7 linked regions of the Mus musculus genome follow. The protein of the gene in region 5 interacts with the protein of the main gene of each other region in a biochemical or structural test. Links are inferred from orthologs where the notes say so. Each region holds a gene or a part of one and is shown on either strand. Other genes may lie near its edges. The genes, in order: Ube2v1, Eif4b, Ube2j1, Mfn2, Prkn, Pink1 and Rnf41.

What was found.
Region 1: the proteins of Prkn (region 5) and Ube2v1 form a complex in vitro, tested with the Homo sapiens proteins (4 studies listed by BioGRID). The link is inferred for Mus musculus from reciprocal best matches to the Homo sapiens genes PRKN and UBE2V1.
Region 2: of the proteins of Prkn (region 5) and Eif4b, one has a biochemical effect on the other in vitro, tested with the Homo sapiens proteins (2 studies listed by BioGRID). The link is inferred for Mus musculus from reciprocal best matches to the Homo sapiens genes PRKN and EIF4B.
Region 3: the proteins of Prkn (region 5) and Ube2j1 form a complex in vitro, tested with the Homo sapiens proteins (4 studies listed by BioGRID). The link is inferred for Mus musculus from reciprocal best matches to the Homo sapiens genes PRKN and UBE2J1.
Region 4: of the proteins of Prkn (region 5) and Mfn2, one has a biochemical effect on the other in vitro, tested with the Homo sapiens proteins (2 studies listed by BioGRID). The link is inferred for Mus musculus from reciprocal best matches to the Homo sapiens genes PRKN and MFN2.
Region 6: of the proteins of Prkn (region 5) and Pink1, one has a biochemical effect on the other in vitro, tested with the Homo sapiens proteins (12 studies listed by BioGRID, with this or other methods). The link is inferred for Mus musculus from reciprocal best matches to the Homo sapiens genes PRKN and PINK1.
Region 7: the proteins of Prkn (region 5) and Rnf41 form a complex in vitro, tested with the Homo sapiens proteins (2 studies listed by BioGRID, with this or other methods). The link is inferred for Mus musculus from reciprocal best matches to the Homo sapiens genes PRKN and RNF41.

What each region holds. Positions count from the first base shown.
Region 1 is NC_000068.7:167,608,006-167,611,505, forward strand, and holds part of Ube2v1 (ubiquitin-conjugating enzyme E2 variant 1), read right to left. Parts: intron 2,425-3,500; coding exon 2,299-2,424; intron 1,243-2,298; coding exon 1,096-1,242; 3' UTR 1-1,095. UniProt on the Homo sapiens protein: Has no ubiquitin ligase activity on its own. The UBE2V1-UBE2N heterodimer catalyzes the synthesis of non-canonical poly-ubiquitin chains that are linked through Lys-63.
Region 2 is NC_000081.6:102,094,223-102,097,673, reverse strand, and holds the end of Eif4b (eukaryotic translation initiation factor 4B), read right to left. Parts: intron 3,003-3,451; coding exon 2,897-3,002; intron 2,698-2,896; coding exon 2,625-2,697; intron 2,422-2,624; coding exon 2,341-2,421; 3' UTR 501-2,340; downstream 1-500. UniProt on the Homo sapiens protein: Required for the binding of mRNA to ribosomes. Functions in close association with EIF4-F and EIF4-A. Binds near the 5'-terminal cap of mRNA in presence of EIF-4F and ATP.
Region 3 is NC_000070.6:33,029,881-33,034,179, reverse strand, and holds the start of Ube2j1 (ubiquitin-conjugating enzyme E2 J1), read right to left. Parts: upstream 2,801-4,299; 5' UTR 2,595-2,800; coding exon 2,564-2,594; intron 1-2,563. UniProt on the Homo sapiens protein: Catalyzes the covalent attachment of ubiquitin to other proteins. Functions in the selective degradation of misfolded membrane proteins from the endoplasmic reticulum (ERAD) and is essential for cells to recover from ER stress.
Region 4 is NC_000070.6:147,884,410-147,887,909, forward strand, and holds part of Mfn2 (mitofusin-2), read right to left. Parts: intron 3,115-3,500; coding exon 3,006-3,114; intron 2,905-3,005; coding exon 2,797-2,904; intron 2,016-2,796; coding exon 1,862-2,015; intron 1,340-1,861; coding exon 1,272-1,339; intron 1,166-1,271; coding exon 1,044-1,165; intron 1-1,043. UniProt on the Homo sapiens protein: Mitochondrial outer membrane GTPase that mediates mitochondrial clustering and fusion. Mitochondria are highly dynamic organelles, and their morphology is determined by the equilibrium between mitochondrial fusion and fission events.
Region 5 is NC_000083.6:12,061,359-12,063,866, reverse strand, and holds the end of Prkn (E3 ubiquitin-protein ligase parkin), read right to left. Parts: intron 2,327-2,508; coding exon 2,214-2,326; 3' UTR 501-2,213; downstream 1-500. UniProt on the Homo sapiens protein: Functions within a multiprotein E3 ubiquitin ligase complex, catalyzing the covalent attachment of ubiquitin moieties onto substrate proteins. Substrates include SYT11 and VDAC1.
Region 6 is NC_000070.6:138,316,297-138,319,796, reverse strand, and holds part of Pink1 (serine/threonine-protein kinase PINK1, mitochondrial precursor), read left to right. Parts: intron 1-1,718; coding exon 1,719-1,901; intron 1,902-2,328; coding exon 2,329-2,492; intron 2,493-3,500. UniProt on the Homo sapiens protein: Serine/threonine-protein kinase which acts as a sensor of mitochondrial damage and protects against mitochondrial dysfunction during cellular stress.
Region 7 is NC_000076.6:128,432,116-128,435,615, forward strand, and holds part of Rnf41 (E3 ubiquitin-protein ligase NRDP1), read left to right. Parts: intron 1-81; exon of another isoform or gene 82-202; intron 203-3,197; coding exon 3,198-3,469; intron 3,470-3,500. UniProt on the Homo sapiens protein: Acts as E3 ubiquitin-protein ligase and regulates the degradation of target proteins. Polyubiquitinates MYD88. Negatively regulates MYD88-dependent production of pro-inflammatory cytokines.

The sequences.
Region 1 (3,500 bases), on a different chromosome or scaffold from region 5:
AGAGGGTCTGAGGAGCAACACTGAAACCTGAGTCTGCAGGGTCAGGGCCTCGTGCTCCAGCTGTCAGGCTCCACATCAGACCCGATGGGTGGCCAGGGTGACGAGAGCCCTGTTCAAACCTCTTCAATGTGTAAAAGCAAAGCAATGATGGGAAAAGGAACCAACTCAGAACCGTGTGCACTGAGGACTCCGCATGGCCTTTCTCTAGGCATCTTTTCACCAAGGACCCTGAGCGCTGGCCGGTCCGAGTCGCCCTGTGACTGCTGTTTACCTTAGACCTGAGCACAAAGCTCGAGGGCTGACGGTGGCAGCAGGGCTGAGGACCCGGCGCTCCCTTCCCAGGCTGGTGGCAGGTGAGTGTGGTCCGGAGCTAAGTGAGGGAGGCCAGGCAATTCCAACCTCATCTGATGGCTTCTGGCCACAGCAAGTGTTGGGTGGTGATGGGCAACAGGGGAGTTGAGGAGGGGAAGCAGCACCCCTTGATAAAGGTGGGGACACGGGAAGCCCTGAATTCCTCACCCGCGGCCAATTTCAGAGGGAGGGGAGGGTTACAATCTAAGCTTTGGCCAAGGGTGGGAGTGGAGGAGTGGGGACCATGGCTTGGATGGGGCATCACTTAAGACTTAAGAAGCAGGGGTGCAGCCAAAGCGCCCCAAGCCCAGCAGTAGTCAGTCCCACAACTGCTACCTGAAGCCTTCCCATCTATTCTAAGGGCCACCACACAGCTGTGGCGGAGGGCGGGGCGGGCAAAGGCAGACCCAGGCCAAGGGCCAGCAGCAGGTGATTGTGTGACGTGTCTGTTCACAGTTGCGTTAGCTGTGCCCACCGCTCCCACAGGAAACCGATTTCAACACCTTCTTGATCCCAGAAGTTCAACCAGGCAGACAGCGGTTACACTCAACAGTTGATGTTACACAGCACAACTTAGGTATTTCAAATGGACGAGAAGTTAGTATCAGAACAGTGTCTCAGGATGAAGGCTGAGTGGAGCTTCCTCTCCGGTACTTTGAGGTCTACAGATGTATCTAGAAAATTCACTACTGTGGAAAATGAAGACTTGGGTTGGATGGGGAGGGGAGGCCGGGGCCTTGGTGACTAATTGCTGTAACACTGTCCTTCCGGCGGCTGTGGCAGCTTCATGTTCTCTTTTGACATCATCAGGCGCCGCAGTTCCTGCAGGATGACTTTGATGCTGTGGGAGTTCTGCCACTTTGCCAGCACTGCCGTGGCTCTCGGATCCACCTGCGCAGAGGCAAATGCACACATTACTGTAGACTCAGCAGCAAAACCTTCCCGCCCTCCCCGGGGCTGATATGCCCAGCCCACAGGCCCATCAAACCCATGGGCTGGGCCAAGCTGCCCTCCTGCAGACAGTCTTGCCTCCTTTTTCTGGGTCCTGGCATGAAGAAAACTAGCAGAGCCTGAGGCACACAGGGAGACTTAACTTGGCCAAACTGGGCCCATCCTGACCAACAAGCACCTGGCGCCCATGCCCTGTCCTTTCTCCAATGTGTACCCAGGGTGGGGCAGGTAGCAAGAGCAGCCATGGTGCCCAGGTCTCTTAGGTCACTAAGGAGTTAGTGGCTCCGACACAGTAACACATAGGACAAGTGGCTCCAACACAGAACAACATAGGACAAGTGGCAGGAATGCTAATTTCTACTTCTCTGGCCCATCTTCTGAAGACTCCTAGGACAGGACAGGCACAGCGCCTCCAAGCCTCTAGCAAGCAAGACACAGATTGGGGATTTACAGCCGAGGTGTGGCCAGCCTGTGTAAGGCCTGAGCTCTACAGAGGGCTGCAGTTGTAGACAGCGCTGCAACCTTGACCTCTCAAGGTCAGGCCTTCAAGGCCATGGACAACGCTAATGCAGGGGCTCAGACAGAGGGCTGCCATGGGTGGAGGCCAGCCAGGGCTGCACAAGCAAACAGTATTAAAAAATATCCCATGGCAGGGGCCAGGACACAGGAGGTAAAGATATGGGAATAGTTCTGCCTCAGCCCCAACTTCCCAACTCTACCTCATGGTGCCATGGACACTGAACACTCTTTTTTTCTTGGTTTTTCTGTGTAGCCCTGGCTGTCCTGGAACTCACTCTGTAGACTAGGCTGTCCTTAAACTCAGAAATCCGTCTGCCTCTGCCTCCCAAGTGCTGGGATTAAAGGTGTGCGCCACCACGCCCGGCTGACAGCCAGTGCAGGGCTCCTGCAGTGACAAGCCACAATGGAGCGGCCCTGCCCAACGCTGCAGACACAAGCGCACCGTGATAACCTACAGGCAGGCAGTGGGGGACTCACCACTCCATTCGAACTGCTCACGCCGCTCATATTGACTCTTGTTACGAATCTTACAGACGGGGGTGCCTCTGGGTACTTAGGCCCACACTCTATCTTAAGGCTGTATATTCGGTTTTCATAGATTGTCTGGAAAAAAGGAATAGAGACAAGTTACAGAGACCTAAGAGAGGTACAGCTTCCAACACCTGGGAGACACCGTTGCCCCAGACTGCCTGTCGTGGGTGCCTCAGAGACGGAAGCACAGGACAGACACAGGAGGAAACTAGGGTTAAGTGTCAATGAGTCCGACCTGAGGCCACTTCTGTAGCATATGCCATCTGCCCTCAGAGCATTCTTTCTCTTATGTAGTCATGGTGACCTAAGATGCCACCAGCATCAAGTGAGTGAAGCAGAAGGCCAGGCAGCTGAGGCACCAGACCATCAGGGACAGCATCAACTCTGAAAGGTCAACTGTGTCTGGGCGTGATGGTACCCAGCTGTGACCCCACGAGCTGAGGATCATCCACAGGCACACAGTGACCTTGAAGGCCTTAGGAGTCTGGGCTATGAATATCACTATCGCGAATAAATGAAAACACCAACTGCTGAGGGCTGTGGGGATGGCTCAGAGGGTAAGGGGCTTGTCATGCAAGCTTGTCAAAGCAGAAGGAGGAAGACTACAAAAGGTGTCTGCTGACCTCTACCCACAGTTACAAAGCCAACCATCCAACCATCTCTTCACTGAGATACATAAGAAGACGGGCGTGGTGGCTCACGCCTTTAATCCCAGCATTTGGGAGGCAGAGGAAGATGGATTTCTGAGTTTGAGGCCAGCCTGGTCTACAGAGTGAGTTCCAGGACAGCCAGGGCTACACAGAGAAACCCTATCTCAAAAAAACCAAACCAAACCAACAAACAAAAAGAGACCCACAGGAAAGTGAGGCCCACACCAGCACCTGTAATGTTCAACAGCAAATTGTGCCTGGCCCAGCCCAATCATGTGTGGAACATCCACCCCGAGTGGAAACATCACACAGCCCTGAACACCTGGCTGCAAGCACCCTACTCTGTGACTGTGCCTAAAGACAACACTGCAGAGACCTTCCACATGGGACCTGTGCCCTGGACCAGGGGCCACGCCTCTTTATCAGGCAGGGGGCACCCTCTCCTTAGGAGTCTTGCACACAAAGCAGTTGCTCCTATGCACACAGTGACACCTACTG
Region 2 (3,451 bases), on a different chromosome or scaffold from region 5:
CCTTTCCTCAATAAAAAACAAAACACCCCAACCAATCAATCAAACCAAACCCAACCCTAGACAAGCAGCTGCTTTTAGTTGCATCATCCCCATCTTGGATACAAGTCCCTCAAATGTGTTCCAGTTCCTCGTGACTCTAGAGGTTGTCTCTATCCTAACTCATTTTCCTGTTTTCAGCGATGACCAGCTTTGAAAAGCTCCCTTAAGTCTGAAATATCTCTTGAGGTGGTTCCCTGTATCAGTGCCCAACAGCTTGCTAGGCAAGCCCACCACGTGGCTTCATGGACTGCAAGGAGGCAAACACTGGGGGTTGGAGTAAGTCAACCAGGACGGCGAACCCTGCCTGGGCTCCATGCACAGAGGTCCATCTCCACTGTTGGTGAGCCTACCCACTGTCCTGCAACAGCTCACATACTGCTGTGCGAAACGGAAGGAAGGGGTGGGGAAAGGAGAGGCATGGGGGGGGGGGGGGAAAGAGCGATAAACTGCAACATTAACCATCAACTTTAAAGACTGGATTTATTTGGAGAAAAACAAAAAAACCCTCAACCCAAAGGATGGGATTTTACATCTCAAGACATCTCCCAAGTAATGTCTACAGATTACAAATCATTTTCATAGAAGATATTTTTGTACAAATTTTACATGTATTCAGGAGCGGGACATAAGTCAACCCCTGTTTTTATTTTAACAGAGGAGCAAAGTAGGAGAGTGGGACAAAACAGCTGTCTTCGGATGCAACTATCTGGAAGGGAAATAGACATGAAGAGGGCAAACTACCTTCTCATTGTCTACAACAATGGTTTAAAAAAACCCATTCAACTGTGGGTATCTGCAAAAGCCCACTTCCTAGCTACTAGCCAATCAAATCCACCGGAGAAGCGATTTGCTGTGCCTACTGCTGCAGCACGGGACATCAGTGCTCCTGCACAGCAGGCCTAGGACCAAGGTATCCTCTGTCTGCAGGTACCTGACTACCCACAACAGGGAGGCTCGCCATCTTTGGAGCTGACCCCTACAAAGGTGCACATCAAAGCAGACAGGTCAAGCTACAGTGTTGCAAGAGAAACCAGGACCTTGCTCAATCGTTCTTTGCATTATCCTTTATTCTTGAGGGGAGTAAAGAAGCCAACCCTCCTAAGCAGAAAACCAGTCAGGGTCACATACATTATAAACAAGCACCAGCGTGGGGCTCCAGTGAGGGAGATTTATAGAAACCTTACATCCCATTCAAGGCTGAAGACCTCCAACTCACCCCATTTACACACCCCTATTCACCACCCAAGCCCATCAGTTGAGGCTGAAAGCTGCAGGAGCAGGCAGAAATCAAAGATAGCACAGAGAAAACTCACTGGCTTGCTTGAGAAAAGCAGCGAGTCCTCAGGCCATGGCTTTTTGTGGCTAAGATACAGTGTCTGTGGGAGGTGTGTGACTCACAGACAGCTCTGGGAGGCTAAGTGTCATGGAGACCATGAGATGACCAGAGTGACAAGGTTTTCAAAATAATATGGGTATATTTCAACCTCTAGAAAGGAGAGTTTAGAAGGGGCAAAGCCAGGCCTTCTCACTACCTGTTAAGTGCTTCCTCATCCAGAAATGACCATTCTATGTATGTGTTTACTGGAGGTCACACTGTTTCCCTCACTACCGGGTATAAAATATAATTAGTCACCTCCCCAAAGCTTTCCAAACCACGATTGAGTTTCCGTTCATCTTGGTCCCCAAGCGGGAACTACTTGTTAGTGCCCCGTAGACTCACTCCCAACTACCCCCTTGGGGGGTAAAAAAATAAAACAATTCCCCCTTAGGCTGGCCCCATTGAAGTCAGAACTAAAGTAGAGGGGCTGGCAGCCTCCTGGAGACTAAAACAGCTTGAGACTAGAGCTACCTTTCTAAGGATGGGAAATTTATTCAGGTAAATTCAGGTAATGTTTGGGTATTCACAGGTGCCATCTCAGGATAAGAATTAGAAAGTAGAAATCTCACTTCTGCTTTGCACCTTTTTCTACTGCCTAACTGATGTGACTGCCTCTCTGTCACTGCAATTCTGCTGAATGGAGCCCCAGGCACTAGTCACACAGTAACTGCTTGGTATTGTCAGACACAACTTCCCCATTCAAAAGCGGTAGCCACGTCTCTGGCTACAATGGTGATTCTCCAGTTACTTCAATACTTTAAAAGGCTGCAGCAGCATGCAAAAGAATTTCATTTCATTAAAAAAAAAGTTTAGAAAGGTCTTCAGGAGATGGTGAGTTTATTTTGTCTTGTCTGGATAGAGGTTTGATTTGCTCTTGAATGTTCCGGGGTGGAGACTAGGAGAAAGCACAGGGTGCGGAGGTCCTACTCAGTGCAGTCGTCGCCCTCATCCTCATCCTCGCCATCCACAGACAGAGCAGCGTACTTGCTTGCAGAGCTGAACTTCTGTAACAGGAGAGGACGGATCATGGATGGGAGCCCAGACCACACCCGTTCCTCTGCGAGAGCAGGGAGGGTCAGGGGCACGAGTGGACGGCCGCACACATCCTCTTTCCGAGAGCCGAGGAAGGTAACCCCACCTTAAGTGTGCTCACTGGAGACAAAAGGAGTCAGACGCAAAACTAAGAGGAAAGGCACATGGCACTTACAGAGGCTGGGTTCTCCTCAGGTTTCTTTGGCTCAGGCGCAGATCTGGAGTCTTGATCTTTTTTGCCATCCTTCCTGCAGAGACACAATAGGTATTCAATAGTGTTGCTGGGATAGTGCATTATTTTTAGATTCTGCAAATCTAACCGTGACTCTAGTTTATTCACAGTGGTAAACCTGGCAATGCTTGAGAAAGCCAAGAACTACTTTATAAAGATTCCCTGCGTCTAACACTACAAGATTCATAAACAGTGAGGAAAAAAAATATAGATACCTATCCAAGTCCTTCCAGTGGTCTCTGCTCCCTCCATCCCCGGGACCACGGCTGCAGCTTCCAGCTTGGCCTTGTGTGGCACCCACCACATCCACTTTATTTCCATCTGTTTAAACAGAAACACAAAACCAAATTCAAGGGTTAGAAAGTAACTCATCTCCCTGTCCTTGCTTTCCTTTAAGCTGAAGGAAACACGTATGAAGGGGAATTATCCCCACTCCAAACCAGCCTAAAGCCTTTTTTTCCCATTAAAAGTCCTACTGTAGTGACCATCACCTAGAAAGCAGGACAGAAATAGGAACTAGATAGATTGTTCTGTAGTGACCTTGGTTTACTAATGGTGACATTTCAAACTTGGACAGGACAGACACATTTATTCCTGTCCAATTTCTCCACAAAGGCAGGCTTTACCAGGAAGAGGCAGCTTTAAATACTCTTTGAAGAAGTCATTCCTGCCCTCTTCTGGCAGAAAAGGTAGCTCATCAAAGAACATTAAACAACAACAACAATAAAACAATTGACAGCTGAACGTTGATGGGGGTAGGGAAGTAGAGC
Region 3 (4,299 bases), on a different chromosome or scaffold from region 5:
CAGAGGTAAAGGAGCTGACCAAGACTGAAGACTGTCTTGGCACCACTGTGAAAGGTGTCTCTGTGGGAGACCAGATGCCTAACACGTGAAGGGCAGCAGCTCCCTGGATGCTATAAATCCATGGGATATCTGAGGGAAATAGAGGAGTTTGAAGAAGGTTGGGATACCAAGGAATTTGGTTTTTACAACTCACAGAGACCTTTTCGATCTGTGGGAAATCTGTAAAAATGTTCAATCACATATTCTATGCAGACCAGTTGATATGGTCTGGGTTCACTGGAAAGTCTGATTAGTGTGAAGTTTCGGTTGATACCAACAGGATGAACAGGATAATTCCCAGGCTTCTGGTACGATGGAACAAAGTTACCATATGCAGGACACAACGGTTAACCATAGTCTGTATTGTGTCCTCCAAGATTTTCCCATCCTTATCTCTGAGATAACCCAACACTAGCAGACAGGAAATGAGATGTTTCGATTACTTCCTCTCACAGTCAGTAATCTACAAGTAACAAAGATTTGAGACTAAAACAAAGCAAGCATTATCACCAGACTTCTCGGCACTTTGGCAACTTCTAGAGTTCATTGAAACTACCTTCTCTACGAACTCAAAATCACCTACATCAACAGGGAAGACAGTTTAAAGCTTTTTAAAGAATAGCATCACCTAGAGAAGAGAATTTGTAAACAGATACAAGAGTCAACCGAAGTCCAACTTACTTTCAAAATTTATTAACTTACTAAGTAGATCAGACTGGATCTCACAGAGATCTGCCTACCTCTACCTCCCAAATGCAGGAATTAAAGGCACAAATCACCATACCCATCTAGAAATGTATTAAATTTCTAAAGTTGCTTAAATTTTATCATAATCTTGGGTACAATAGCCTATCAAGAAGGAGAAATTTGGGGCTGAAGTGAGGTCTCAGAAGTTAAGAGCACTGCCAGCTCTTCCAGAAGACCTTATAAACTGACCCAGATGGTAGCTTACAGCTGTCTATAACTCCAGTTCCAGGGGATCTTACATCCTCACACAGACATACATGCAAGGGAAAAAAATGCACATAAATAAAAAGATAGATAAAAGGAAGTTGTTAAAAAAAAAAAAAAGATTGAACAATTTCCTGACAACATTTCACACTGCATTATTCTCTGGACATCTGCCTAAGGACCTCTGCTGCTCTAGGTGTGACTAAGTACTGTACAATTTACTGCACAGTTTGATTTTAAAAGTCCAACAAATTTAGCTAGGTGGCAAACACCTTTAATGTCAGTTCTGGGAAGGCAGGGGCAGGAGGATCTCGGCCAGCTTGGTCTACAGAGTGAATTTCAGGACAGCCAGAGCTACACAGAGAAACTGTCTCAAAACAACAACAACAAAATTCCAACTAATTTAATCATTCTGGCATCAAAATGGTAAAATCCAGGCATTTCTACTTTCTCTGACCTTTTTTAACTCTTCAGGTTTTAAGTGATGGGCTGAAGACAGAGACATGTCCCATTAAAATTCAGCCATATAATTCTTACACAGGCGTGGTCAAATTTTAAACAAACACCGTAGAAATGACTAATTCTACATCTGGTCCCTAAGGCCACTTACTTATCAGCATTCAAGCTAACAACATTCTGTTCAGCCAATATTCTCTGGCTTTTCCTTTATATATTCTAAAAATTTAAAATATATATATATTTTTAAAAAGATTCACAATACCAACTCTTTCCCATAAAGATATCAGACTTAAGTCCAAACTAAGAAGCAGTGTGGGAAAGAAAACAAACGGTGACGAGAGTTCTAGTTCAATGATCATCAATACCCTGAGGCTTATTATTCAGAGCTAACAGGGAGGAGTTTTTTCCCCCTGACAAATTATCAAAGTACATTTTTTAGGCTCCAGTAATTTGTGCTACGTCTGCCTTAAAAGATATGACAACTGATAATGGGTTTTTTGTTTTTTGTTTTTGGCATTGTTTTTAGTGCACCAGAAAATAACTGGAGGCCAGGATTGTCTGAGGGCATTAACTGAAGGAAAGAAATTCAAAGTAGCAATCAACCCCCCCAAATCATGGTTAATTCCCAAGTGCACAGCTCAACTAGTTTAGCTACAGGACATATTTTTTTTTTCTACGTCTATAAATTCTCCCCCAAATACTGAAATTGGATATTTCAACCACAATAAAAATGGGATATTTCAAATGTGAGTCAAACACCTAACAAAAGTTCGTCGGCAGAGGCGGAGGGGACACGAAGGACGCAGATGCGGCCAGGGATGGTCAGTAGTGCGGACCGTCGTCGCCTTCGCACCTGCCCTTGGCTCGGCTGTCTCCTGCTTCGCTCCGCAGACACCGGGAGGAAGAGGCCAGGAGCGGAGGAGCGCCAGCGCATCGGGGGATCCGCAGCGGCCGCCCGCTCTGCGGCCTGCACCCCCGGACCGGCCGCGGCCTCGCGTAAAGCGCGAGCCCGGAGCAGCCGCGAGGGCCGGCGGACACGAGCGGGCCGAGGCGCCGCGCTCTGAGTCCCGGGTCCCCCGCCCGTCCGCCCGCCCGCCGCCCCAGCCCGGCTCACCCGGGCTCTTCAGGTTGTAGCGGGTCTCCATGGCGGACGTCCCCGCTGCCGCTCTCGTCGGCGCCGCAGCTGCCCGGGTCTCGCGCGGCGGACGCGCCTAGCGAGGGCCTCCGCTGACACCGCCCAGTCCAGCCCGACCGCGGGCGAGGTGCGTGCCGCGGGGTCCGCCTCCCTGAGGGCCGGCCGGGCGCCGGGGCGTCGCCGAACGGGGCGCCGGGCTGCGGACGGCCTGCGGGACTGACGTCCCGGCTGACGCGCCGCTGCGTCACCGCCGGCGCCGGGTCTGTGAAGTCGGCCTGACGTGGCGGGCGCTTCGTGGCGGTCGGTCACTCGGCAGCGGCGGTCCCGCGAATCCCGCCCGCCCGGCAGCCCTGGGGAGACGGGCGGCACCCTCGTCGTCCCCTCGGCCCAGCCCGGGAGACCGACTCGCCGCGGGCCCTTCAGGGGTTCCCGCGGAGCTCGCAGGGAGCTCGGAGGAACGGCGCAGCCCGGAGCGGCGGGCGGGCGAGCGCGGCCTGGGACTGCGGCGCCGTGATGTGCGCTTCTCCGAGCCCGCAGTTGGCCTCGGTGCGATGGACGGGAGTGGCCCCTAGCTCCGCGGTGCGGTTAGCTAAGGCAGCGTTTTTCGGGGTGCATCAGAACCTCCCAGAAATAAAACCAAGGGGTCGCCTGGAATGTTAATAAAAACGCATAAATGGGACAGGTCGGTCTGAAAGAGATGCGGTGCGTTTGTCTTTTCGGATCATGGAGGACAGAGAAAGTAAGGTTCTGGTTCGGACGGCTTACCGAGATAAAAGGGCCTCAAAAAAGGGAGGGAGCCAGCGGAGATTAGAGAAGGTTATAGGTGGAATGAAGATTAACCAATTAGACAGATTAGTGTTCTTGTTTAACATTGTCAAATGTGTTTGTGGGAATGTCAGTAATTTTTCCCAGCCGTCTGAAGGAGGAGGGAAAAAAAAAAGATTTAAGTGGCATCTTCTAAGCCATTAAAGGCGATGTTTTCTGAATAGTACGGTGATAATCTGAAGAATAGAGAAGCAAGCAAAACCGAGCTTCAATGTGCTTCTCCATTAAGCTTTCATTCTTTGTGTTCAGTCCTCAAATTTAGCATCCAGCAACCTGCGCTGCTCCGACCGGCCCCATGACCAGGCCTGCCGAGGGGGTGTAGTCGTTCCCATCCGCCCGCCAGCCAGACTCGGAAGGCACTTTGCCCTGAGGCTCTCCTCTTCCTCCCAACAATGGAGATAAGGATGTTTCTCTTTTATTTTATTCTTGAAGCCACATCACCTCGTCCTTGGGGGCTCTTCCTTAGGTAAAAGACAGCAACAAATCCGGCATTGAGTTATGGGCCCATGGCAAAGCTTAATTATAATCACTGCAAGAGAAAAGTCAACTCTTAATTTTTTTCTAAATATAAACATGTACAGAGAGGGTAAATATGATTTTTTTTTAAAAAAGGAGTAAATGCTAAAAGTTACTAATTGCTTGACTGTTAACTGGGTCGGAAAGATTAATTTTCCCAGAAATGTAGGTTTGTCAAAAGAATACTTTGTTTCTTCAGAACAAATTCCCTCCTAGAAGAAAGTAACAATTTTCAGCAAACAAAAAGATTCCATCCCAAATTAAAATTTGGAAGAATTTCATCTTATTTTTTATAATAATCCTGACGATAACTTTAAAAAATAAAAAACAAACTTAAACCAGTTTCTGGCGATGCTGCAAATAACAAAAGATGA
Region 4 (3,500 bases), on a different chromosome or scaffold from region 5:
TCCAGTCCTTTTGTGCTCTCCTCAGGAAGGTCCTTTAATCTGGGGAGTGGGAGCACAGGAACCCACCATCCCCCAGGACTGGGTGGGACTCCTTTTCTGCTCTAACTAACATAGGCCCACACTATCTCATAGTCTCTCCAGTAGAAGGGAATTGTTTGTACATGGCTCCCTGAGCTTTCCTGGACTTTACATTTCTCATATTGTTTTTCTTTTTTCTTTTTGTTCTTTTGAGACAGGAGCCCATGCATCCTGCGCTGGCCTCAAACTTACTAATAGCCAAGAATGACACTGAACCTGATCCTCCTACACCCTGACTCCATCTCTAAAATGCTTATAAAATGATTCTAGGATGTCACTACCACAGCCAGTACGTGTGTACTGGAGACGAGCTCAGGGGTTCCTATATACTAGGTTAGCACTCTGAAAACTGAGCATATCACCTGTACCCCATCACGTTTTAATGTCCCTTTAGTCCAAGCACTCATGAGGCAGAAGTAGGCAGATCTGAGTACAAGGCTATCTGGACTATATAGAGAGTTCTGGGCCCACCAGAGATGCATAGTAAAACCCTGTCTCAAAAAAAACAAAACAAAAGAAAAAACCAATTCATACTTGCATACATACATACATACATACATACAATAAAACAAAAAAAAAGGAAGGTTCAAGTGGGATATGGTATGTTAGGGTGGGGTCCTGAGGCAATAAAATCTTAAGTTCAAGACTAACCTGAACTACATAGTTAAGAATCTATTGGAAATAAAACAAAACCAAACCCTGGGCCAGGGCTGCAACTCGGTAGTAAAGAGCCTTTCTAGCTGATAAAAGGACTCAGATCTGAGCCCTGTACTACTGAAAATTAAAAACAAACACAAAGGCCAAGACCTCCAACAAGGAGCCTGCCTTACTGTGCAGGCTGGGTGGGATGATGAGACACCAGATGGCCCTCCTGACCAGTGTGACTAGGTCTCTATTGTGGCCTGGGCGTGGGCCCATGGACTGAGCTCAGCATTAGGGGTCTGATCATACATGTAGGCTCTCACCGCTGCTCCTGAGCTGCGATGTGCAGGGAATCCATGATGAGACGAACGGCCTCTGCAATCTGCTTGGCCCGGACTGTGTGCTGCTCAAATTTGGTCTTTACTGCAGACTGGGAAATGCACTCCTACAACAGAGAGAGGGACTGAGGGAGGTGGGGCTGTCACCTCCACGGCCAGGCTAGACAGAGCTGGGAAGGACAGGAGGACCACACACCAGAGTCAAAGACTTACCTCAAACTGCCTCTCGAAATTCTGAAACTCAAACATCCTCACTTGAAAACCTTCTGCGAGAGCGCCGCCTAGGAGAACGGCAGTGCTGATGAGGAAACTGCACGGTAAGTGATTGGGGAGATCCTTCTCTGGGATACTTTTCTAGCCCTGTGACCAAAATCACCTGCCGAGAAGCCACTTCAGGGAGGAAGGCAGGCTTATTCTGGCTCTCGGTCTGAGGGGAGACAGTAGGTCATGGTGGAAAGGAACAGCAGCAGGTGCCTTGCTTAGGAGCAACTTGAGGTTGCTGGCCCATAGCTCACTGGGCACAGACATGGAAAGAAGGGGTGCTCGGCTGGCTTTCTCCTTTTTACTCAGCCCATGATAAGCTGCAGCTCACCTTCAGGAAGAGTCATCCCTTCTCAGGCAAGCCTCTCTGGTAATGCCCTCAAAGCCATGCCCAGTGGGAGATCTCCTAGGTGATTCTAAGGACAAGAACCTCCCTCCAGGCTCTGCTCTCCACCTCACTGCCAGCAGTCTCCACCACACACCCAGGAAGAGACGCAACACTGCAAACACCAAGTAAAAAGAAGCCAGCAGCTCACAGTTACCTCCTTCTGGCATGCCCTGGGCTTTCTGGACCCTGGCGCTGAGAACCTCCTTGGCAGACACGAAGAAGATCCGGTCCCCAGCCTGAGCTCGATCCACCACGCCCAGCTCATCCACCAGAAAGCTGGTGCAGCGCTCCATGTGCTGCCGCCGCACCTGGGCCAGGCAGACGGCTGTGCATGAGCAGGACAGTGGTGGGGAAACCCGATCCACAAGGCTCAACAAGCACAAGGGATGAACGCTGGACAAGGAAGGGTCACCCAGCACCACCTCCCCAGCTCCTCCCTGGGGGTTCCTGAGGCACAGAACAGGTCCCAGACTGCCTCAAGTTTTGAAAGTCGATCTAATATTGTTCTTTGACATCCCACAAGGAAGAGAACCTAAATGCCCCTACACTGACAAGCCACATCTCCCAGAACCTTGATTTATAAAACAAGTCGTCACAGTGGGCAGTCCCAGCTCCATGTACTAGGCTGGACTAGTAGAATTTAAAAGGGTAGCCGGACGTGGTGGCGCACGCCTTTAATCCCAGCACTCGGGAGGCAGAGGCAGGCGGATTTCTGAGTTTGAGGCCAGCCTGGTCTACAAAGTGAGTTGCAGGACAGCCAGGGCTAAAAAAAAAGAAAGAAAGAAAGAATCTCCTGTCCTTCATTTTCTTAAGCTTCTTCCCCAGTGTCTTTCTACAGCCTGTTTCTGTAGATCCTGAGCTTCTGTAAACCAGTTACTGGCCCAAGCACAGCAGGGATGCTCTTAGGAGAAATCAAGAGGAGGGAAGGAAAATGAATGGGAGGGGAGCGGAAAGATTAAAGCCACCAGCGAGTACATGGGCAATCTGGCACTGACTTTAACTGAGGCTGCCTGGGACACACAGCAGATCTGAGTGGTCAGTGCTCATGGCTCCTGGCAGTCCCCAAACTGCTGCCAGCGAGACACCTACCTCCTCCATGTACTCAGGCTCCGAGGCAGACGCATCCCAGCGGTTGTTCAGGATGAAGATGTTGGGCCGGGAGAGACGTTCACTCACTTTGTGGAAGAACTGCTTCTCCTAGACAAGGGCAGGACCTTGATGGAGGAGGGGGCCTGCCAGCCCAGGCCCCACTAACCACCTGTCCAGCAGGCCCAGGGACAAAGCGAAGCAAGAGTTACCGTCTGCATCAGCGTGGACTCTGAGTTGGCCACCAGCACAAACACATCAGCATCCAGGCAAAACTTATCAATCCAGCTGTCCAGCTCCGTGGTAACATCGATCCCAGGGCTTGTGGTAACAGGTGTAAATCAGTGTGGTCAGGCACAGGGCTCGGGCCCCAGTGTGAACTTCCCTGGGACTTGCAAAGTGGCAGGAGTGGGAGGGGAGGAGGTTTCTGCCTCCCATCCCTGTCCTTCCAGACCACTGAGGGATGCCCAGTTTGTTTTTAGCACCTATCACTTTTTCCCCTTGGTATTTCTACACAGCCCTGGCTGTAGACCAGTGTGACCTTGAACTCAGACATCCTCCTGCTTCTGCCTTCCAAATGCTAGGATTAAAGGTGTAGACCACCACCCAGCAGCACCCATTACTTTTATAAAAACAAAATGACTTCTAGTCATTCACGTCTCTAGAGATGTAATTACAGCACCTGCTGCCATGCCCAACTCTCAAGT
Region 5 (2,508 bases):
CCTGAGTACCATGCGCCTGAAGGAGCCCATAGAAATAAGAAGAGGGCATCAAATTCCCTGGAATGGGAGTTTTAGGCAGTTGCAAGCTACCCTCTGGGTACTTTCAAGCTGAACTCTGGTCCTCTGCCAAAGCAGCAAGTGCTCTTAACCTCTAAGTCATCTCTCCAGACTCTCCAGACCCAGTTTCCCTTGTTAACACTTATCTGGGCAAGTCTGTGAGCAAGGCAAGAAAGTGACTGCTAGGTTTCAGAATGAGATCTTGTTTTGAAATACTGATAATTAGGAGAGCAGAGCCCCCAAGGTTAATTATGGAAAGAAAAGAGACCAATTCCCCCCCCCCCCCAGTGGCTGATGCTTCCAAGTTCTCGTTTAGATGATCCAGAGATGCCCCTTCTATAAACACATATGAGAGGTCACAGAGAAATGCGGCCCATCTTCCCTCCCACATCTCCAAAATTGATCAGAAATGCAATCCCAAGGATAGGTACAAACACGCTTTTGATTCTTTCATTGACAGTCTGGGTCTTTATTGATTGACAGTCTGGGTACCACCACACACACAGACTTCAGGTATTTCTTAATACACTTCACAGAAAGAGAAAGATTGCTTTGCAGAGGTTTGATTTCCACTCTTCTGACATCCACTTTTATCCCACTATTCACACTCACACAATGCAGGCTGTGATTCATGCTCACACACTGTGGATGCCTGTCTTTTGGGTTATTTTAAGAATCACTATTGTATTCTGAAGAAAACATATGCATCTGTTAGGAAGGAAAAGGGACCATACTGGAGAGCCACAGAGCTTCAGGGAGTCCCTTTACCCAAAGCAGAACAGCAAACATTGTCCTGGCTTCCCAATGCGATTACGTCACACGGGTGTGGAAGGAGGCAGAGGCAAGCACAATGATGGAAAAAAAATAGTGATGGGTGACATCAGACTCCTGACTGCTGCTTGACAGGTGGTCTTTTCATTTTGGGAGCTGGCTGGGTGGAGTCTAGGGCCACTGGGACAAAAGTGTGAACTTAGGCCAGCTGGCCTTTCCTCACACCACAAGATAACATCATTTCTATATGATTTTTAGCTCTAGGCCTCAAGTTTGGTAGCCCCACCACCACCAAAAAAAAAAAAAAAAAAAAAGCAAAAGCAAAACAAATAAAAAACAGGAAAAAGAAAAGAAAACCTTGAAAGATTAACACTTGAGTGTGATGCATGTTGATCTGAAGGCTATCTTGGTGTGTGTGTATTGCCCTGTCTGTAGGACCACTGGGTGGATGGGGCTCCCTGGGGCTTAACAGCAGAGGAGGGAGCAGATATGCAGAGGTGTCCCCACTTGTGGTGGAAGGGGTCAGGCATACTCTCATTCAGATGGTCGAGGGATGCTCCTTCTATAAACATTGTGTTTCTTGACCCTGTTGTTAGCATTGGCGCAGCATCATGGGATTGTCTCTTAAAAACGCCCCCTTTATAGGCACTTTCTCTGTTAAATTCACAGTGAAGCTAAACTTCCAGGCTGCAGTAGGAATACTCCAAACCAAATTGCAGACTTTGTTATCTTTTCAGGGGGAAAAAAAGATCATTTCTTTCTAAAGTTGCAGATAATGAAACGAACGGAAGTAGGTTTGGCTTCTGAGTCCTCCCTGCGATTTAAGCAGTCTGCCATCCAATTAGCTTTCCTAGGTTCTCACTTGGTTGATAAGCTGATTAGTACACAGAGGGGTTGTAATCTCATCAGCACCATTTGTAAAGATAGGATTTGGGGGGATAAACAAATAGTTTTGACTACTGCAGGGGGCCCTTTGGGAATAGATGATTACTACATGAGAGCAGCGTTCCTCAGATCTCAAGTGTGCTTCTGAGAATCCTCAGAGGTGTTACTTACCCAGGGCGTGGCAACAACCCTGGAAAACACTTCCCACCTCACTCATGGCTTCTACAGAATCCAAACCAAAGGTGCACCCTCATCTAAGCTCTGACATTCGAGTGAGCCAGAGGCTGAAAGTGCCTCCTCCCCCTGGGGCCAGCGGGTGCTGTGGTTTTCTGTGGGTGCCCTGGAAAGGATCTAGGGGCTGCTTCTGTAATCTGCAGCCTGTGTTTGTGTGTGCGCATTTATGTGCTTATATGCATCGAGAAGAAGAAATGGCTAAGGAAGGTAGGAATCTTCGGAGTTTCCCTTGAGGTTGTGCGTCCAGGGCCAAGTGACATCTCTCTCTACACGTCAAACCAGTGATCTCCCATGCAGGCTCGGTTCCACTCACAGCCACAGTTCCAGCACCACTCCAGCTTGCACTGGGGCTGAGGACACTTCATGTGCATACATCCTCCTGTGGGGACAAAGGACATAGACGCTGTGGGTTTGTAACAAATACGGGCGAGCCCTTGTTCCCCGTGCCAACCTGCCATTCCAGAAACAGCTCTTGTAGTGAATAACAACCTCAAGCAATGAGAGCAGAGAGACTGACCCAGAGTGAACAACCAGACAGCAGCGGAGGCAGCTCCTGGGTCC
Region 6 (3,500 bases), on a different chromosome or scaffold from region 5:
CCAAAGAGGCCCAGTTCAGAAGGCTAGGCATTGTCCTAATTCTGGCAAAGCAGTGTGTGGGTGTAGCGCCACCTAGTGGTAAGCCTTTGTGACTGAGGCGCCACCTAGTGGTTCACATGTACTGTCTCCACGGGCGGGAACACTATTGACAGTGGCTGAGAGCCTGAAGTGCAAACTCCCGTAGCCCTAACCCTTCTACTTATTTCTATGACTTTCTTAGCTGCCTGGCTTCGGTCCTATGTGTCTATTCGATTTTTCCAGGTTTCTCTGGTTGACAATTGGTTCTGTATTCTACCTCTGGTGCCTGTGCCAAGGGTACTAGCTGAAATTCTGCTGGGTCTCCAGAGACACCCCCCCCCCCAGACGACTCATGGCTCATGCATGCCCACTTGGCCTCTGTCCGGAAACCTCGGACTCTGCTCCTTGCTGCCTCTCCCACCTCAGGTCTCGCCCTTGCCTGTCTGTACCCTCCCCACTCCCGAAAGCTCACCCCGTCTTCCTCAGAAGCCAGAGCTCTGACTTTCTGCATTGCTCAGGCTGCAGTCTCTGCACACTGCAGACAGACCTAACTTGGACCAAATCTCCCATCTCCCCACACTGCCTTGAAGCTACTATGACACCTGCCAGGGTGCTGCCAGCCTCCTGCTGAGGTCCTGACACTCCGTGTCACCATTCACCCAGGGCAAGGACAGTGCTACATAGTGCAAGGACCCACTCCTGTGACACAGAGGGGCAGTACAAGAACACACATGAACTAGGCCCCAGGACAGGGCAGTTATCCTCCCAAACTTGGCTCATCACTGGGGACTCCTCCACTCTCCTCTGCACCCTTAGCACTGGTGCTCCTCTCTGTGGCTCTTCTGGTCCTGCAAGCCTTTGCTTCCAGTCGCCTTCCCTGTGTCCCCTAAGAGAAGTGACCTACCTGCCTGTTCCTTTTCCCAGCAGCCATCAGGATCTCAGATGAACCCATGAGCACCCTGACCTTGGTTCCTAATGCCCACTTTTGGTCCAGTCAGCTTTGGCAGAGAGGCAGAGCCACCCTGTCCACAGTGCTTTGTGGGGCCCTGGCTGTGGGGCATCCTGCAGGGGTGAACAAGGGCCACCAGGTGGCAGCACTACAGCGAACTGCATCAGTGTTGGGGACTCATTTGGGAAAGAGGATGCTAGTCCCTGTGAAGGGGGAGATGACTTGGGCTGGGTCCCTGTCCTCAGAGAGCTAAAAGAATTACTCTCGTGTTGGATCTCAAAGCGGCGACTCTGCTCTATACATAGTTCCAGCATTGTAGCTAATGCTTGGCTCTCTGTGTGACCATAGTAAATGCTAACAGAGCATCAGCCTTGCTGAGTCCCTGTGCTGCTGAGCACGACTGTAGTGCTCTGTGCGTATCAACCGCCTTGTACAGAGCATCGCTGAGTCTGTATTTCCCACTCTGCCCTGAGCTCAGAGGGAATGAGTAGCATTGCCCAAGGACTGAGTGTGGCAGTCGCCAGGGTCTCTGAGCCACTGTGTTCCACCATGTGAGATGGATAGATGGGCCAAAGGGTGGGCTAGAATGGGAGAAGTCACCCCTGTTGGGGTGCAATAGCTGGAAGAGAGCAGACCTGCAGTGGATATGGCAACTCTGCCTGAATGGGTGCCTGAGGTGGTGGCCTTAGCTCGTCTGCCCAGCACTTGTCTCTGATGCTGGCCCCATCTGCTGTTCCATTTGCCTGAACAGAAGATCCAGAGATGGTCCCAAGCAGCTTGCCCCACACCCTAACATCATCCGGGTTTTCCGCGCCTTCACCTCATCTGTGCCCCTCCTGCCGGGGGCCCTGGCTGACTATCCTGATATGCTGCCCCCACACTACTACCCAGAAGGCCTGGGCCACGGTCGCACACTGTTCCTCGTTATGAAGAAGTAAGTGGTGGTGCTTGTGTGGGGGCGGGGGTAAGGATCGTGCAGCAGCCTCTCCTGTCCCATGGGAGCTGGTCTGTGCTTGGAGCACAGGGAAGAACAAAGCACGCAGAAATGAGAGCCGTGTAGGAGAGAGCTGGGTTAGAATGAATGATAGATCATCTCATCTTCCAGAATGTGCGCTTGGCACCTTGGTAGCTCCTCCCTCTATGGCGTCCTCTTTCAGTGCCAGCTAACTTCAGAGACGGCGCTGAGGAGTTGGGGAGTGACACTGGCATGGCTTCTGAGATTTGGGGTCAGGGTGGATGAGATCTGAAAGGATGCCTGGGAATAAAGATAGGAGAAACTCCAGAAGGGGAAAGGCCCAGTCCTAGCACGGAAGGAGGCCATGGAAATTGTGATCCCCAGACATTCTGTCCCCTCCTGCCAGCTACCCCTGTACCCTGCGCCAGTACCTTGAGGAGCAGACTCCCAGTTCTCGCCTGGCTACCATGATGACCTTGCAGTTGCTGGAGGGCGTGGACCATCTGGTTCAGCAGGGCATTGCCCATCGGGATCTCAAGTCCGACAACATCCTTGTGGAGTGGGACTCAGGTAGCTGCTGGCCAGAGCCACAGTGCTCTGGACACACCCAGAGTGCTCCAAGAAGGGGCATTAGAGACCCTGAGGGCAGTGTGTGTGTGTACATGTGACATGCACATGTCGAGGCCAAAGGTTGGGGCCTGGCCCCTGTCTCCTTCTCTCTCCCTTATGTTTTTAGAAAGGGTCATTCACTGAGCCTGGCGCTCACTGTTTCAGTAAGGCTAGCTGCCCACCAAGGCCCTGGGATCTCTCTCCATCACCCTAGTGCTGAGGTTATAGCTTTGACATGGGTGGTGGGGATCCAAGTAGGTCCTCACTACTCTAACCACTGAGCAATCTCCCCAGCCCTCTGAATATTCTGTACTGCCTTCTTTAGCTCTACTTCAAGAGAGGACTCCCCTCCATCTCATGGGTAAGATAGGCAACAGCCCTCTTACAGTTCCTGGGGTCTTCTCTGTGGCCCCCTTGCAGAACAATACCATCTGTCCTGTAGTTTTTGAACCAGTGAGAGGTAGGAGAGGTAGCCAGATTGTGGCTCAGTGAAAGCTGCCCACACAAACCCCTGGCTTCTCCATCACTGGCAACATGCAGTGAGCATGCAATGAGAAGCCCTGCCTGGGATGTTCTAGAGGATTGCCGGGCTGGAGAGATGGCTCCGTGCTTAAGTGCTCCTCTCTTCTGGATGGCCTGAGTTTGGTTCCCAGCACCCAGGTGGAAACGCACAGCTGCCTCTAACTCCAGCTCCAGAAGATCTGGCGCCCTCTTCTGGCCTCTCCGGGCACCAACACACATAGATAAAAATAAAACAGATCTTTTTTTTTCCAGACCTGAGGAACTGAACCCAGGGCCTTGCGCTCTACCACTGAGCTAAATCCCCAACCCCAAAACAAATCTTTTTAAAAATTAAACTTAAAATAATTAAATGTGTCACTAGAAAGCTTTCTTAGGAACTCCAGGAGCCTTTCTCTCCCAAGGTCCATTTGTTAGATTATTGGCATTACAAACTCAAATGTAAGACTC
Region 7 (3,500 bases), on a different chromosome or scaffold from region 5:
TGTCTCTTTCTCTCTCTCTCTCTCTCTCTCTCTCTCTCTCTCGTGCTAGAGAGATGAAACCCAGGGCCTTGTTCTTTCTAGGCAGGATCTCTATCACTGAGCTGTATCCCCAGCCCTGCTTTGCTTGAGGTGATCATTCTGACTGATAAATGTAGACTAAGAGGCAAGAGAAACCAGTTGGAAGTCATACTTGACAATTCAGGTAAGAGATGATACCATACGAGCTTGAATCAATAGAGATGGAGAAAAGTAGACACATTGGGAATTTTTTTTTTAAGATTTACTTATTTTATATATGTGAGTACATCATTACTGTCTTCAGACACACCAGAAGAGGACATCAGATCCTATTACAGATGGTTGTGAGCCACCATGTGGTTGCTGGGAACTGAACTCAGGGCCTCTGGAAGAGCAGTCAGTGCTCTTAACCTCTAAGCCATCTCTCCAGCCCGATTTATTTTTCTTTTTTCTTAAATAGTTTGTTTATTCTTTAAGATAACCCAGGTAGAGTGACACCTGCCAATAAACCTAGCACTCAGGGCTTCAAGGTAAGCCTTCCCTATATAGCTACTTCAAGGACAGGATAGCCTGCATGTGAGTTTCAAAAAACATGGAGGGCTAGGTTTGATAGCATATGCCTTTATAGTCCTAGCACTTGGGAGGCAAGTGGATCTCTGTGAGTTCGAGGCCATCTACAAATTGACTCCAGGACAGCCAGGGCTACACAGCTACACAGAGAAACCCTGTCTCAAAAAAAAAAGGTTTTGGGCTGGTGAGATGGCTCAGTGGGTAAGAGCACCCGACTGCTCTTCCAAAGGTCAGGAGTTCAAATCCCAGCAACCACATGGTGGCTCACAACCATCCGTAACGAGATCTGACTCCCTCTTCTGGAGTGTCTGAGGACAGCTACAGTGTACTTACAATAAATAAATAAATAAATAAATCTTTAAAAAAAAAAAAAAAAAAAAACAGGGGAAAAGATTTAAAAAAAAAAAAAAAAAGGTTTTGAGACGAGTCATATGTTAAGGGTTTTGTGTGTGTGTGTGTGTGTGTGTGTGTATACATACATACACATACATATACATATATATATACACATCCATATATATGAATATATATATATATATATATATATATTCAGAGTTAGCTTTTTAATTAGATACCCTTTTAGTTAACATTTTAAATTACATTTATCACATATTTATTCTTGTGTGTTGTGTGTGTGTGTGTGTGTGTGTTTGCACGTGTGTTCACAGTGGGTTGTGACACATATGGAATCAGATGATACTCTGTGGGAGTTGATTCTCTGCTTCTACCAGGCTTGGTAGCAGACATCTTTACCTGCCACACCGTGTCCCCAACCTGGGTTTTGAGCTTCTTAGAAGTGAACTCAGCACATGTGACTGCACAGGGGTTTGAAGTGCATTCTGCACTAGCCTAATGATCTAAGATCAATCACTGGAACCTGCTGTGGAAAGGGGCCTCACAGCCATGTGTGCTCCATGGTGCATGTGACTTGCACTTACACACTCCCAGTTCTGGGCACATGTAATAAATGCAAAGTTCACCTGACTCAGGTGCTGTTCGTTGCCCATGGCTGAATGCTAGGTAGTGTCTTCCCAGGAACCAGGGAACCAGGGAGCCTTCTCAAAGAAATAAGGGACATCTTTATATATCATGGGAATGGGGAGGGGTTACTAGGGTTTTTGAAACAGGGTATGGTTATATATTCCAACTAGCCTGGAACTTGGGATCCTCCTGCCTCTCTTTAGCCTCCTAAGTGCTGGAACTCCCCACCCCCACCCCACCATGATATTTATGAAACAGAGAACAGTGTCATTCTACAAAAAAAAAAAAGAAAATGCTAGTCCTATGTAGGAGCCCTGGTGTAGCATTTGTGACTCAGGGGCCATACCTCATTGAAAGGTCATGACAGGCCTCATAGAGAAAGATCTTGAATCTACACAGAGAAATCTCATGAGAGTTTCCCTTACTTTTCCTATGTGATTTGTTGTTGGGTCTTTTTTTTTTTTCTTTCCTTTTTAAAATATATTTAAAATATTTTATTTTTGTATGTGTGTGGGGAGGTGGACATGCCATGTGTGTAGGTTCCTGAGGAGGTCCAAAGGAACTCTTGTATCCTCTGAAACTGAAGTTAGAGGTAGTTATCAGCTGCTGTGTGTGTGCTGGGAACTGAACTTGGGTCCTCTGGAAGACTAGCAAGTTCTGTTAACTGTCTTGCCAGCCCCTGTTTGTTTGTTTGAGAGTTTGGAGGGACTGTTCTTTTGTTGAGACAAGGTCTTACTATGTAGACCATGCTGGCATGGGACTTAGAGACCCACCTGACTCTGCCTCCCGAGTGCTGGGATTAGAGGTGTGCACCAGCCTGCCTGGATTTTTTTTTCTTACGTTTGCTTATTTTGTGTCTGTGTGTGTGTATGTGTGTGCGCGCGCGCTCATGAATACACACACAGTCCATGGAACATATGGAACTCAGTAGTTTGCAGCCAGTTCTCTCCTTTTACCATGTAGATCCCAGGGATCAGACTCACGTCAGGTTTGGTGGCAAGCACTTTTACCTGGGAGTCCCCTCTCCACCTCCATTTGTTTTCTGAGGCAGCTCTTGCCATGTAGGGCAGGTGCTTACAAGACTTCCTCCTCGGCCTGTGAGCTGGGAACGGCCACACGCAGCCCTCGTACTCTCTCACTTCTGTGGTGGTTAGTGAGTCTCTGCCGTAGTCCCTACGCTGTGTCTGAGTCATTCGTGAAGCCCTGTGTACAGAACACACCTTTCCCCATAAGGATCTGCTGTGGTCGCCCTTGCCGGCAGGGCTCACCTTCCTCTGGCCTTACTTGGCAGTTACTGTGTGTGAGTGAGATCCTGCTGGCTGTTAGTGATGGATGGCCTTGTGTTGTCCTCTCCACTCCTGCAGTGTCCTGTGAGTCTTTTACTGTTACAGAACCGTTTGCTTGTTTATCTTGTCTCTCAACTCATTTCCACTCCTGAGCACAGGAAGTGAGTCTTGCACCTGACCTGAAAATGCTCTGCCCAAAAAGATCTGTCCTTGATTGTGAGCCCTGGACCTCTGCTCCTAGAATCTGCTTGCAGGCTTCATTGGCTTCATAATTACTGGATCCAGGCTCTCAGCTCTTGCTAATCCCCTTGTGTCCCTTTTACCCCCTACTGTCCCTTCTAGGCGCCTCATTGTGAGCATGCCTTCTGCAACGCCTGCATCACCCAATGGTTCTCTCAGCAGCAGACGTGTCCGGTAGACCGTAGCGTTGTCACGGTTGCCCACCTGCGCCCAGTACCTCGGATCATGCGGAACATGTTGTCAAAGCTACAGATTGCCTGTGACAACGCTGTGTTTGGCTGCAGTGCTGTTGTCAGGCTTGACAACCTCATGTCCCACCTCAGTGACTGTGAGCACAACCCGAAGCGGCCTGTGACCTGTGAGCAGGGCTGTGGGTGAGATTCCTCCTTCCACTCCATTCAGACA